4 linked regions of the Saccharomyces cerevisiae S288C genome follow. The protein of the gene in region 4 binds, or shares a complex with, the protein of the main gene of each other region. Each region holds a gene or a part of one and is shown on either strand. Other genes may lie near its edges. The genes, in order: MRPL9, MRP20, MRPL44 and MRPL1.

Region 1 (3,172 bases), on a different chromosome or scaffold from region 4:
TATACTATTTACCGAAGATGGATTCTTCTATGAATTCTGCAAACTCAGACAGCAATGCCACAGAAAAGAGGTTTATTTATGGTGGTTATGACGATTTTTTGCAACCGTCAATCGAAAACTCACAATCTTTCAAAGATTATGTGAGGCGTATCAATGAGCATGCACCCTCCGCTTATAATATTGCTTCACTGGCTTCGCAGAATAACAGCAAGTTATCGGTCCCCTCCAAGCACATTGACCTTTCGAATAAGATTTCTTTCGAATCGTTAGAGAATTCTGAGCTGATTGTTTCACCACAACACTCAAATACTGGGCAAGACTGTGATCAAAGATGTGATAGTACGTCAAATCCTGATGTAAATGAAAAGTCCAGCCATAACAACGATAATCGACTTAAATCGAATTATACGAGTCGTAGCGGGCTCGAGCCTCAGTGTTCGAGAGAGGAGGAAGAAAATATTGACAGAATAAGAAGCATTTATAACATTTATTTTGAGAAAAGTAATAGCACGATACGATCCTCTGTAACTTCTTCGATACGGCGTGACTCTAAATTAAACATCGCTACAAGAAAAAGTGTAAATATGAGCTCTCAAGACAATCCAAATGATACTACATTAATTGAACAGAGTCACTTCGGAAGTACAACTGTCCAAGAAATTGATTCCAGTTCCAGCGCCAATGAGGAATATGAAGATGCAACTGATTATCTGCAAGTGCCGGCACCACAAGAGAATAAAAACATTGCATCGTCAGTATATTCAGAAGTAGCAACCAGAGAAAAAGTGATTCCCGAATCGTCTCTATCTCTTACATTCCCACCACCGAATGGTCTTTCAACGAGAATTACCTCATCAATATATTCTGACACGGTCGCTAAGGACCATATTCACTCTGCAAAGGCTCCCGTACGGGCCCTTTCGGAGGGTTCGGGTCAGTCAAATCTTACTTCTGCTCAGCAATATTCTACATATTTTATAGATCACTGCAACCAGAGCAATGATGACAATTACTACTATAATTATCCCCTCCCGTTAGAACATCCTCAAAATTATGAGAACATCGGAGATTTGCCCACGCCTACCCAATTCATTTATTCCACCTCTTCGCATTCCTTGACGTCATTCAAAGGAAGGCCTAAACCTCCAAAAACACTAAAACATGTACCTACAGCTAGGCTTAATGGGACAGCGTTGAATCCAATGGATCATCCTGAAATGTTTTACAGTTCGCCTACGAAAATACCGTCAACATCTTTGACAAAGCAATTTTGTACGCCCCTTCCATATCAGCTTAGACAAAGTGTTGTTATGACCAACCCATCAGAACTTTCTATGAAACCTCGCTATAAGCCTGCAGGATCTTTAAGAAATTTAATAAAGGCCCAATATCTCCCTGGTAACTCATCCACTACAACATCATCTTCTTTATCACAACCGCCGTCAACGTTGTCAAATGCAATAAATTTCCGTGTTAGTGGGTTATTGGATGACACTGACATCTTGCAGCCTCCTAGTGTGGGGGAAATCTTACCTTTTAAAGCTTCTACGGAAGACTTAAGGAAGCAACTGGGCACATCCCATAATTACGAAATAACACCGTACGAGAATGTACATGTATAAATAAAATTCAAAATCATGAAATGTTGTAACAGTAAATAAGCACCATAAATTCGTTTCTCGATGATCCTCTTCTTTCCTTAATTGAAATGCTAATGCCATTTCTCCTATTACAGTCGCGAGATATTTGTTTTCGGGTAATCCCTTGTCAAACGAACTTTATTGAAAAATATATGGACGATAAATTGACAACTGGGACGAGAAAGGGCAACTCTTTGAAAGCAAGAGAGAACAAATATAGCCATGTCGAAGTTCCTACAGGGATCAATATTTAGCATATCAAAACTTCATGTTAGATATTCTTCTACTCGGCCTTTTCTAGTGGCTCCTAGTATTGCTAACAGTATAACAACCGAGGCTCCAGCGATTAATCACTCACCTGAACTGGCAAATGCGAGAAAATGGCTACCAAAAAGATGCGGTTTAATTACTCGTAAGAAGGGAATGATGCCTTATTTTGATAAATCTACTGGTGAAAGAAGCGCCGCTACTATATTAGAAGTTAATAATGTTGAAGTAATAATGCATAGAACTTCGGAGGTCAATGGGTACTTCGCGTGTCAAGTAGGGTACGGATCAAGGCATTTGTCTAAAGTTAGCAGACAAATGCTTGGTCATTTCGCTTCTAAAGTTGTTAACCCAAAAGAGCATGTGGCCGAATTCCGAGTTAAAGATGAAAAGGGATTAATACCACCTGGCACATTATTGAAACCCTCTTTTTTCAAAGAAGGCCAATATGTTGACGTCAGATCAGTCAGCAAAGGCAAAGGTTTTACTGGTGTGATGAAAAGGTATGGATTCAAGGGTTTGAGAGCATCTCATGGTACATCTATTATGCATAGACACGGTGGTTCTTATGGTCAAAACCAAGACCCAGGTAGGGTACTGCCAGGAAGAAAGATGCCTGGTCATATGGGAAACGAGCATGTTACTATCCAAAATGTTAAAGTTTTGAAAGTCGACGATGAAAATAATGTTATTTGGGTTAAAGGCTCTGTGGCTGGGCCCAAAAACAGTTTCGTTAAAATTCAAGATGCAATCAAAAAAACTTGAGCATAAGGCGTATAAGTATTTTACTACAATCATGTACATACATCAATAATAACAATAAAATGGGTAATCACTTAAGAATCTTCAAATAATATTCTTTACTTTTCCATGAAGTTGGCTAAATAGTATTTAGTACTATATTAGAGTATTGGAACTTTGAAGAACCAATTTACATACAATATGAAGTGAAAAAGAAATGAAAACCCCGTGGTTATAAATTAGAGACTAGTTAATAAAAGGGAAAAAATATTGGAAATTTAAAGAATGATACGCCACCGCCTCTAATCATCAAGTTCGGAAGGTTTTAATAACCCACCAATCTTGGCAGCTTTTTCCCTCTCTAGTCTATTCTGTTCCATTAATGCATTCTCTTTATCTTCAGCAAACAAATAATCTGTTGGATCACCTCCGACTTCTTTGATTTGCACCAAAAAGTCCCTCAAAGTGCCTTTGAAGACCACTAAGTCTTTGTATTGTTTAGTTAATGCAGAGAGAAAACTTGC
Region 2 (2,956 bases), 590 kb from region 4:
GTTAGTTCGTTAGAAGACCTTGATGAACCCAAATTTGAAGATTTTTTACATATTCCCACACCTTGGCATAATTGTGTCGTGAAGGTTGAGGATGAAAAGGAGAAATACTTTTTGACAAAATCAAAAGTAGTCAAGGAGGCTCTCGAAAAGGGTATGTATGATGGTGTATGGAAAGATACTCGTTTCGATATTGGAGAAGGAGGACATTTCGTTATCAAGAAAATCTCTTAATAAAGTAAGAGCGCTACATTGGTCTACCTTTTTGTTCTTTTACTTAAACATTAGTTAGTTCGTTTTCTTTTTCTCATTTTTTTATGTTTCCCCCCCAAAGTTCTGATTTTATAATATTTTATTTCACACAATTCCATTTAACAGAGGGGGAATAGATTCTTTAGCTTAGAAAATTAGTGATCAATATATATTTGCCTTTCTTTTCATCTTTTCAGTGATATTAATGGTTTCGAGACACTGCAATGGCCCTAGTTGTCTAAGAGGATAGATGTTACTGTCAAAGATGATATTTTGAATTTCAATTGACGTAATTAATGATACTATTAATAATACAGAGCGTATATGAAGTATTGCAAATAACATGCACAGTTCTTTTGGGATGAGAATGATAATGAAAGGCGAAGGCGGGCGTTCAGAAAAGCGTTGCGGAGTAACAAGTGATTAAATAGCACCCAAATAATCTTCTTTGATACTACCGATTGCGTGAATAGAACTCACTTGACTGATACAACCTTCAATTTTAACTCTAATTCTACTTTTTATGGTGATGACATCCTCGGAACTTTGGTATGATGGTGGGTTTGAACCCGCATTAAAGGTTAAATCTTGAGGCATCAGATGCTTTGTCACAAATACTTTCATTGGACCTACTTGCACTTCGAACCCGTGCTGAGAACATGAAACGACTGTGCCGTCCACTACTTCCCCTTTAAATGGTTTGAAAACTACAGCTCTATATTTCACGTTGAACTCGGCGGACCCATCTGTGGGCAATATTCTCCCACGTTGAATATCTATATTATCATAGTCTAGGACACAAAGAATATATCCGAATTTACCCGTACACGAACCTTCAACCTCTTCCAATAGTTTTGTCTTTAGATATTGCTTCATTCGAGGACCGAAAAAGGACGGATGAAGGGTAATATTAAGCGAAAGGTCTTTAATAAAAAACATTCTCAGAAATTGAGTTATTTATACAGTGGTTGAAATGTGAATCTATTCTTGGACTTTCCCACTGTCTAATCGCAAAGGAGAATGGTGTAGGAGGAGAAACGGAAAAAGAAAGGCTATGATATTCTGGGAGAAGAGATAGGTGGACAGACCTGATCGACCCAATGTTAGAGAATAAATCGACGAAGTGAGCTTGTCTACGTTATTGGCATTTTCACTGGGATATAGGAATACCGCATTTATTTTCCTTGTATTTTTCAAAATAGCCGTTGAAACCCACAGAAGATCACTTAATACGTAATCGCGTTATACGAATTTTCTCGATGAAAAAGGGAAAACGATGGTATTAGAACTTGAAATGTACATACATTTCTTGTGGAGAACGTAACGCTACTAACAAATAATGTGCTTTGATTAGCAGGCTCCAACAGAAAAAAAAATAAAATAAAAATAAAAAGTACGCAACACCAACACAGAATATGCCACGATTGACGGTTGGAACGAAGAATATGTTGTATCCTTTGCAAAAAACACTTGCAGTAGGAAGTTGCAAGCCAGAGCAGGTTCCAATAAGATCACTAGCCTCAGTGGTGGAGAGTTCCTCCAAAATACTCGACAAAAGCGGCAGCGATCGCGAAGTAGATATAAACGTAAGCGAGAAGATTTATAAGTGGACAAAGGCGGGCATAGAGCAGGGAAAGGAGCATTTCAAAGTTGGAGGTAACAAAGTCTACTTTCCCAAGGCCAGGATCATCCTCTTGAGGCCCAACGCGAAGCACACACCGTATCAAGCAAAATTCATCGTCCCAAAATCGTTCAACAAACTGGATCTCAGAGACTATCTTTATCATATCTACGGCTTAAGAGCAATGAACATTACGACGCAGCTGCTTCATGGGAAGTTTAACCGTATGAACCTACAGACGACGCGGTTTAGAGAACCGCAGATCAAGAAAATGACTATCGAGATGGAAGAACCCTTCATTTGGCCCGAAGAACCCCGTCCGGACGAAAACTCCTTCTGGGACAGCACCACGCCTGACAACATGGAAAAGTACCGTGAAGAAAGACTTAACTGCTTGGGCTCAGACGCCAACAAACCCGGCACAGCATTCGACGGAGTCGTGGGGCCTTACGAACGGGTGGCCCAGCCTTTTATACCTCGCTTCTTAAAACGAGAGATAGACAATAAGCGAGAGCGTCACGCCGCCGAACTGCAGCGCGCAGATAAACTAATTGCCCTGAACAGGTACATAGAAGATCTACATTAGAAGGTTTCCCATTCCACCCCTTCGTTAACCCACACGCAAATACCCAGATAAGCATCTTGCACCCCTCACACTTGTATATACGGAGCAAACTACATAATCTCTAAACAGAAAAAAAAAAAAAGAAAGAAAATTAAGAACATTACTTTTTCCGAGCAACAAACGCAAAAATATATGAAGTGGCTGTAGAACATGCCTTACGGAAGAAAAGAATGATGATGGCATCCCCTTCCCCTGCCCTGGAAGGTGGCCTGTATTTCTGTTCTTTTTTTATTTTTGTTCGCGCAAAGAGCAAGAACATTGGTTGCTTTACTTATTATTTTCAGGGTCGCTTCCGCGGGATGCCATGCACGGATGCCTGCGGAGACAGTGGCGCGGAGCCGTCCGCATGCTCGTTCCGCGGAGAGTCTCGAGCGGGTCCGCGAGGGGCGGATCTGCAACGCACGGTGCCGGGGTTAAGGTATGGCACGATGGTAAGACGATGAGGGAAAAGAATACTGCTA
Region 3 (2,943 bases), on a different chromosome or scaffold from region 4:
TTTCAAAGAGGAGCCTGGAGAGCCTTTATCTAGACCTGCTTTAAAGAAAGAAGAGATACACACAATTGCTTCGGCAGTAGGAAAACAAGGTGCAGAAGAAGAGGGAGAAGAAGGAATGGAAGAAGAAGAAGAGGAGGATCTTGACCTAGGCGCTGCTTTTGAAAGTGAAGAGGAAGGTAGCGGTGCCGAGGGAGACAAGGAGCAACAACAAGAGGAAGTCGGTGATGAGGTGGATCAAGACACAGGCGGAGAAGATGATGACGATGATGACGACGGTGACATTGAAGCTGCTGGTGGGGAAAGTGAATCTGATGACGAAAAAGACGAAAACAGACAGCACACTGAATTACTTGCGGACGAATTGAACGAACTAGAGACCACCCTGGCCCATACCAAGCATAAATTAAGTAAAGCCACGAATCCTCTTTTGAAAAGCAGGTTCATAGATAGCATTAAAAAGCTCGAGAAGGAGGCTGAACTAAAACGTAAGCAGTTACAACAAACCGAAGATTCTGTCCAGAAACAACATCAACATCGCTCTGACGCAGAAACTGCAAATAACGTCGAGGAAGAAGAAGAGGAAGAGGAAGAAGAAGAGGAAGAGGATGAAGTGGACGAAGACGAGGAGGATGACGAAGAAAACGATGAGGACGAGGATAATGTGCATGAACGGGAACACATACAAGAGAACAAGGTGGTGCGCGAACTTGATGAAGCCCCCGCAGAGGAAACACTCGACCAGAACGATCTCGATATGATGATGCTATTTGGTGCAGAGGGTGATGAGTAAGTTCTCTTTATCATCTATATATTACTCTTATACACTATACGACTCTACTCTATGACGTATAGCATTGATATATATTAAGGCACGACACCGATTTTTCTTATCGGAGCGATATAAAAAGCTGAAGAAAGGAGGATAGATGAAACAGCATGGCGCATAGAAAGTGTTCAAGCTCACTAGTAAAGGCGGGAAATAGAACATTGAGAACGTATTTTGATAATGTCCCAAGGTAGAAAAGCTGCAGAAAGATTGGCTAAGAAGACTGTCCTCATTACAGGTGCATCTGCTGGTATTGGTAAGGCGACCGCATTAGAGTACTTGGAGGCATCCAATGGTGATATGAAACTGATCTTGGCTGCTAGAAGATTAGAAAAGCTCGAGGAATTGAAGAAGACCATTGATCAAGAGTTTCCAAACGCAAAAGTTCATGTGGCCCAGCTGGATATCACTCAAGCAGAAAAAATCAAGCCCTTCATTGAAAACTTGCCACAAGAGTTCAAGGATATTGACATTCTGGTGAACAATGCCGGAAAGGCTCTTGGCAGTGACCGTGTGGGCCAGATCGCAACGGAGGATATCCAGGACGTGTTTGACACCAACGTCACGGCTTTAATCAATATCACACAAGCTGTACTGCCCATATTCCAAGCCAAGAATTCAGGAGATATTGTAAATTTGGGTTCAATCGCTGGCAGAGACGCATACCCAACAGGTTCTATCTATTGTGCCTCTAAGTTTGCCGTGGGGGCGTTCACTGATAGTTTGAGAAAGGAGCTCATCAACACTAAAATTAGAGTCATTCTAATTGCACCAGGGCTAGTCGAGACTGAATTTTCACTAGTTAGATACAGAGGTAACGAGGAACAAGCCAAGAATGTTTACAAGGATACTACCCCATTGATGGCTGATGACGTGGCTGATCTGATCGTCTATGCAACTTCCAGAAAACAAAATACTGTAATTGCAGACACTTTAATCTTTCCAACAAACCAAGCGTCACCTCATCATATCTTCCGTGGATAAACCTAGCTAAACTAAGTAAATCTGTATACTTTTTATACATGTAAGACTTTTTAGCTATTTCATTCTTCCCTGAACCGTTTTGCGCGATTCTACGGAATATACCGGCGAAATAAAAGAGATAAACTTATGGATCCTCAAATAGAGGATGAACAGATGTGAAGAAGAAACGAGCTTAATTATATCTTCGCCATGATAACTAAATACTTCAGTAAGGTAATTGTCAGGTTTAATCCCTTTGGCAAGGAAGGTATGTATTTTTTTTCGCTCTGTTATTCGTTCTCCTTACCTTTGGCCATCATGATTTAAAGATTTGGCTAAACTAGGCTGAGGTAGGCTCGAACCGATCTATCACAAATACTAACAGCAAATGATATGGTCATATCATTGATTTCAGCGAAAGTTGCTAGGTTAGTACTTGCTGCCATTCCACCAACGCAACGAAACATGGGCACGCAGATTCAATCGGAAATTATCTCAGATTACAATAAAGTCAAGCCTCTTGTGAAAGTAACCTACAAGGACAAAAAAGAAATGGAAGTCGATCCATCAAACATGAACTTTCAGGAATTAGCCAATCATTTCGACCGTCACTCGAAACAGCTGGATCTCAAACATATGTTGGAAATGCATTGAGAAAATAAAGGCATCTACAAATCTCATTGTAGGCATGCACGTTTCTAATATTCTAACAAAAACAAAGTCAGAGTTCACAAGCAAGCCTGTAAATAATATATATGCAATTACACAAACGTATAGATAGATATACCCAACCAAACTGACTTAAGGTTTAAATAGTATGGCCAATCGAATAGAACCCAAACATTATAGCCATATTAAATTACTCTTTACGCTTGTAAGGAAGACAATGTGGAAACAACATTAAGAGAATGCAGACAATTGACGCAAGTTGTACCTGCTCAGATCCGATAAAACTCGACTATGGACTATCCTGATCCAGACACAATAAGGATTTTAATTACTACAGATAATCATGTGGGTTACAACGAAAATGATCCCATTACTGGCGATGATTCTTGGAAAACTTTCCATGAAGTCATGATGCTGGCCAAAAATAACAACGTAGACATGGTTGTACAGTCCGGTGATCTTTTTCACGTGAATAAGCCTTCCAA
Region 4 (2,901 bases):
TCCAAAGTCTTTAAAATGAAATTGGAACCTCCATTTGTTCTCAGTACTCAATCAAAGGATAACAATATCAGTAGTAAACAGATAGAATCCTCGGAGCAAATCAAGGCTGTTGAAAAGGAACAAGAAGATGTAAAAGAAGCGTCTGTTGATGTAGAGGAGATTGCTGAAGTTCTAGACCATTTCACTGTGTCGGATGTAGATTATTTCATTACAAGAGCATTATATTATACCTTGACTCAAGATAAAGGTTTGGAATTACCCATTTCAGCTTCTAACTTCATCTCAAACCACATTATGCGTAATTTGCCTCCAATTGATCACAATGAAGTCAATGTAAAGAAAACTTCATGGAAAAAAAGCGCAAAATTTTTGAAACACTTCGAGAAAGAAGGCTTCTTGAAATTAAAAGGAAAGGGGGATGACTTAACTATTGTGGGCAAAAATACTGACAAGGATGAGTTAAAGAACTTTGTGCCATATAAGCTTGGTTGTAGCAAGTCTGCCACAGAAAGTAGGGAGAGCACAACCTCGAAGGAGAAAACATCTGGAATGATGTATTCACTGACTCTGTATAAACCCTTTAATCTTGCCAAAGATCTTTTGAAGGAGGTTAATTTGGCTTCTCACACGTACTACACCTCTCAGGACATTAGAAGCGCGGTTTCTCAGTATATTTCTGTCAAGAACCTAGCAGACACAAAAGATAAAGGAAAAGTTATTATGGACGATCTATTATTCGATATGGTCAATAAGAAGAAGAAAGTCTTGAATGCTTCACGTATCATTGCTAGAGGTGAAATTTTGCATCCCTTACTCACCAATAATTTTACCGAGTTCTATCAGATATTCAAAAGCGATGATACTCTCTTGTTCAAGGCGCCAATGAAGGGTTCCCTTCCGCATATTAAGATTATTACTGAAATGAAAATTGGCAGAAAAGTTATTACCAGAGTGAGCAATTTTGAAGTGTTTCAAGTCGACCCAGAATCACTTGCGGCTGACTTAAGAAAGATTTGTAGCGGATCGACAACAATAAGTGAATCACAAACATTCAAATGTGCTGAAGTGCAGGTTCAAGGTCCACACGGTCAATCGATCATTGATCACCTTAACAAGCTAGGTATTCCAAGCAAATGGATAGACTTTGAGAACAAGTTGAAGAAGAAAAAAAGAAAGTAGATTTATATCATATAAATGTTTAAATGCGTAAAAATGCCCGACATCAAAGCATATAGAACTTTTTTACCTAATCGAAGCTTTTCTAAAGTAGGTATTATGGTAGTCTTGAAACCCACAAAAAATATGAATGTATCATGGGAGGGAACGAAATGTTTTCAACAGCGGTAAAAATATACTATATTTGTATATCCAGTTCATCTTTACTATTCTCTATTTTTTAGTGTAACTTACATTATGAGACTAGCGACAAAATCTCCTTTTTAAGCGAAAAGAGAAAACTTTCGAAAAACCAAAGTATTTTGAAAAACGACCTGAAATAAAGGGAATTTGAAGAAAACTAAACAGTGATAAGTCATCAAAGAAGATGCTATCCGTAGTAGCGATCCCGAAAATATGTGTCACAGGTCCTGCAAGAAGATGCTTTTTTCATACTGCAAAAAAACTATACGCAGATGACTATAAACCAGCAGCTATGTCCTCCAATGCACCTTCGCTAACAAAAGACCAAGCCAAAAAAAGAGAGTTGAAAAGATTGGTACAACGAAAGGCCGAGGCAAAGAGACCAGCTACAGCAAGCCCATTGTACATGCCTGTTACAAAGGCACTAAGATATTTACGCGCAGCAGAAGTTGGCAGACCGCAATCGCAACAGACAATTAATTTGACTACATTGGTAGTCGGTGAAAGAGGTACAGCGCCTTTATCCGGTAGCGTGACATTTCCTAAGCCTTTGAGATATATCAAAATTGCTGCCTTTACCAACGACGAAAGTAAATTGGAAGAGCTTCGTGAGAAATACCCAAATCATTTGATTGGCGGAGCAGATCTTGTTGCCAAAATTAAAAGCGGTGAAATTAGCGTTGATTTTGACAAAGCATTTGCAACTCCTGATATTGTTCCAGCTTTACAATCGCAGGTGGCCAGGATACTTGGTCCTCGTGGGGTTTTACCCTCTGTCAAAAAAGGTACGGTGAGTGATGATATAAGCTCCTTACTTCAAGAAAGTCTAGGATCTATGCCTTTCAGGCAAAGGGGAAACTCTATCAGCATTGGAGTCGGCAAATGCTACTTCACTGATCGAGAAATTTTACAAAACATTATATCCGCTAGAGCGGCATTTAAAACTGCTGTTGATAATCAAAAATCTAAGAAACCAAATATACTGAGTAAAACCACATTATCAAGCACACATGGCCCCGGTATTGTAATCGATTTTGCTTAATCAGCGAATCAGTTTTGTCTTGTTGGACTTTTTTAATTGTATATATATATATACTGGTGCATTTTCTTTCTTTTTATATAAAATCATGTACATACAAAGTAACCGTCTTTTTAAAGTGGAATAAAGTAACTGCTCTTTTATTTTTGAATAATAGTGAAAGTGTATGTTGCATAATCATTAGATACCTATGTACAAGAAGTATTCAAATTTATCTGAATAGTATGTGAAATTTCAATGAGACAAAAACCACCTACCTTTGAGCTTCCTCCTTTTCAATATCTTAGAGCCCTGTTTGCTCTTGGCCCTAGCCAAGAAACCAAAAGTTCTCTTCCGTTTCAATGTACTAGGTTGATAGGTGTTACCCCTTGATTTCCATCTTCTTTGACCTATTAAGCCAAATCCCAACGGTGTGAAGGACGGAGTCTTCAATGGTGAACTGTTTAAGAGCATACCGGTTTGTGGGCGTAACACAGATAGAGCAGAGAAAGAAGATATAGATG

The links.
Region 1: MRPL1 (region 4) and MRPL9 share a complex: the UniProt entries of both Saccharomyces cerevisiae proteins name them as parts of the mitochondrial large ribosomal subunit.
Region 2: MRPL1 (region 4) and MRP20 share a complex: the UniProt entries of both Saccharomyces cerevisiae proteins name them as parts of the mitochondrial large ribosomal subunit.
Region 3: MRPL1 (region 4) and MRPL44 share a complex: the UniProt entries of both Saccharomyces cerevisiae proteins name them as parts of the mitochondrial large ribosomal subunit.

The regions. Positions count from the first base shown.
Region 1 is NC_001139.9:935,574-938,745, reverse strand, and holds MRPL9 (mitochondrial 54S ribosomal protein uL3m MRPL9), read left to right. Parts: upstream 1-1,862; coding exon 1,863-2,672; downstream 2,673-3,172. Other genes in the region: TOS2 (Tos2p), read left to right, coding at 1-1,622; exportin CRM1, read right to left, coding at 2,951-3,172. UniProt on the Saccharomyces cerevisiae protein: Component of the mitochondrial ribosome (mitoribosome), a dedicated translation machinery responsible for the synthesis of mitochondrial genome-encoded proteins, including at least some of the essential transmembrane subunits of the mitochondrial respiratory chain.
Region 2 is NC_001136.10:1,275,982-1,278,937, forward strand, and holds MRP20 (mitochondrial 54S ribosomal protein uL23m MRP20), read left to right. Parts: upstream 1-1,664; coding exon 1,665-2,456; downstream 2,457-2,956. Other genes in the region: DIT1 (Dit1p), read left to right, coding at 1-231; DNA-directed RNA polymerase II subunit RPB7, read right to left, coding at 673-1,188. UniProt on the Saccharomyces cerevisiae protein: Component of the mitochondrial ribosome (mitoribosome), a dedicated translation machinery responsible for the synthesis of mitochondrial genome-encoded proteins, including at least some of the essential transmembrane subunits of the mitochondrial respiratory chain.
Region 3 is NC_001145.3:720,460-723,402, reverse strand, and holds MRPL44 (mitochondrial 54S ribosomal protein mL53 MRPL44), read left to right. Parts: upstream 1-1,999; coding exon 2,000-2,057; intron 2,058-2,204; coding exon 2,205-2,443; downstream 2,444-2,943. Other genes in the region: TATA-binding protein-associated factor TAF7, read left to right, coding at 1-790; ORA1 (oxidoreductase), read left to right, coding at 1,007-1,810; MRE11 (MRX complex nuclease subunit), read left to right, coding at 2,750-2,943. UniProt on the Saccharomyces cerevisiae protein: Component of the mitochondrial ribosome (mitoribosome), a dedicated translation machinery responsible for the synthesis of mitochondrial genome-encoded proteins, including at least some of the essential transmembrane subunits of the mitochondrial respiratory chain.
Region 4 is NC_001136.10:682,224-685,124, reverse strand, and holds MRPL1 (mitochondrial 54S ribosomal protein uL1m MRPL1), read left to right. Parts: upstream 1-1,543; coding exon 1,544-2,401; downstream 2,402-2,901. Other genes in the region: TMA64 (Tma64p), read left to right, coding at 1-1,179; mitochondrial 54S ribosomal protein bL34m MRX14, read right to left, coding at 2,633-2,901; YDR114C (uncharacterized protein), read left to right, coding at 2,899-2,901. UniProt on the Saccharomyces cerevisiae protein: Component of the mitochondrial ribosome (mitoribosome), a dedicated translation machinery responsible for the synthesis of mitochondrial genome-encoded proteins, including at least some of the essential transmembrane subunits of the mitochondrial respiratory chain.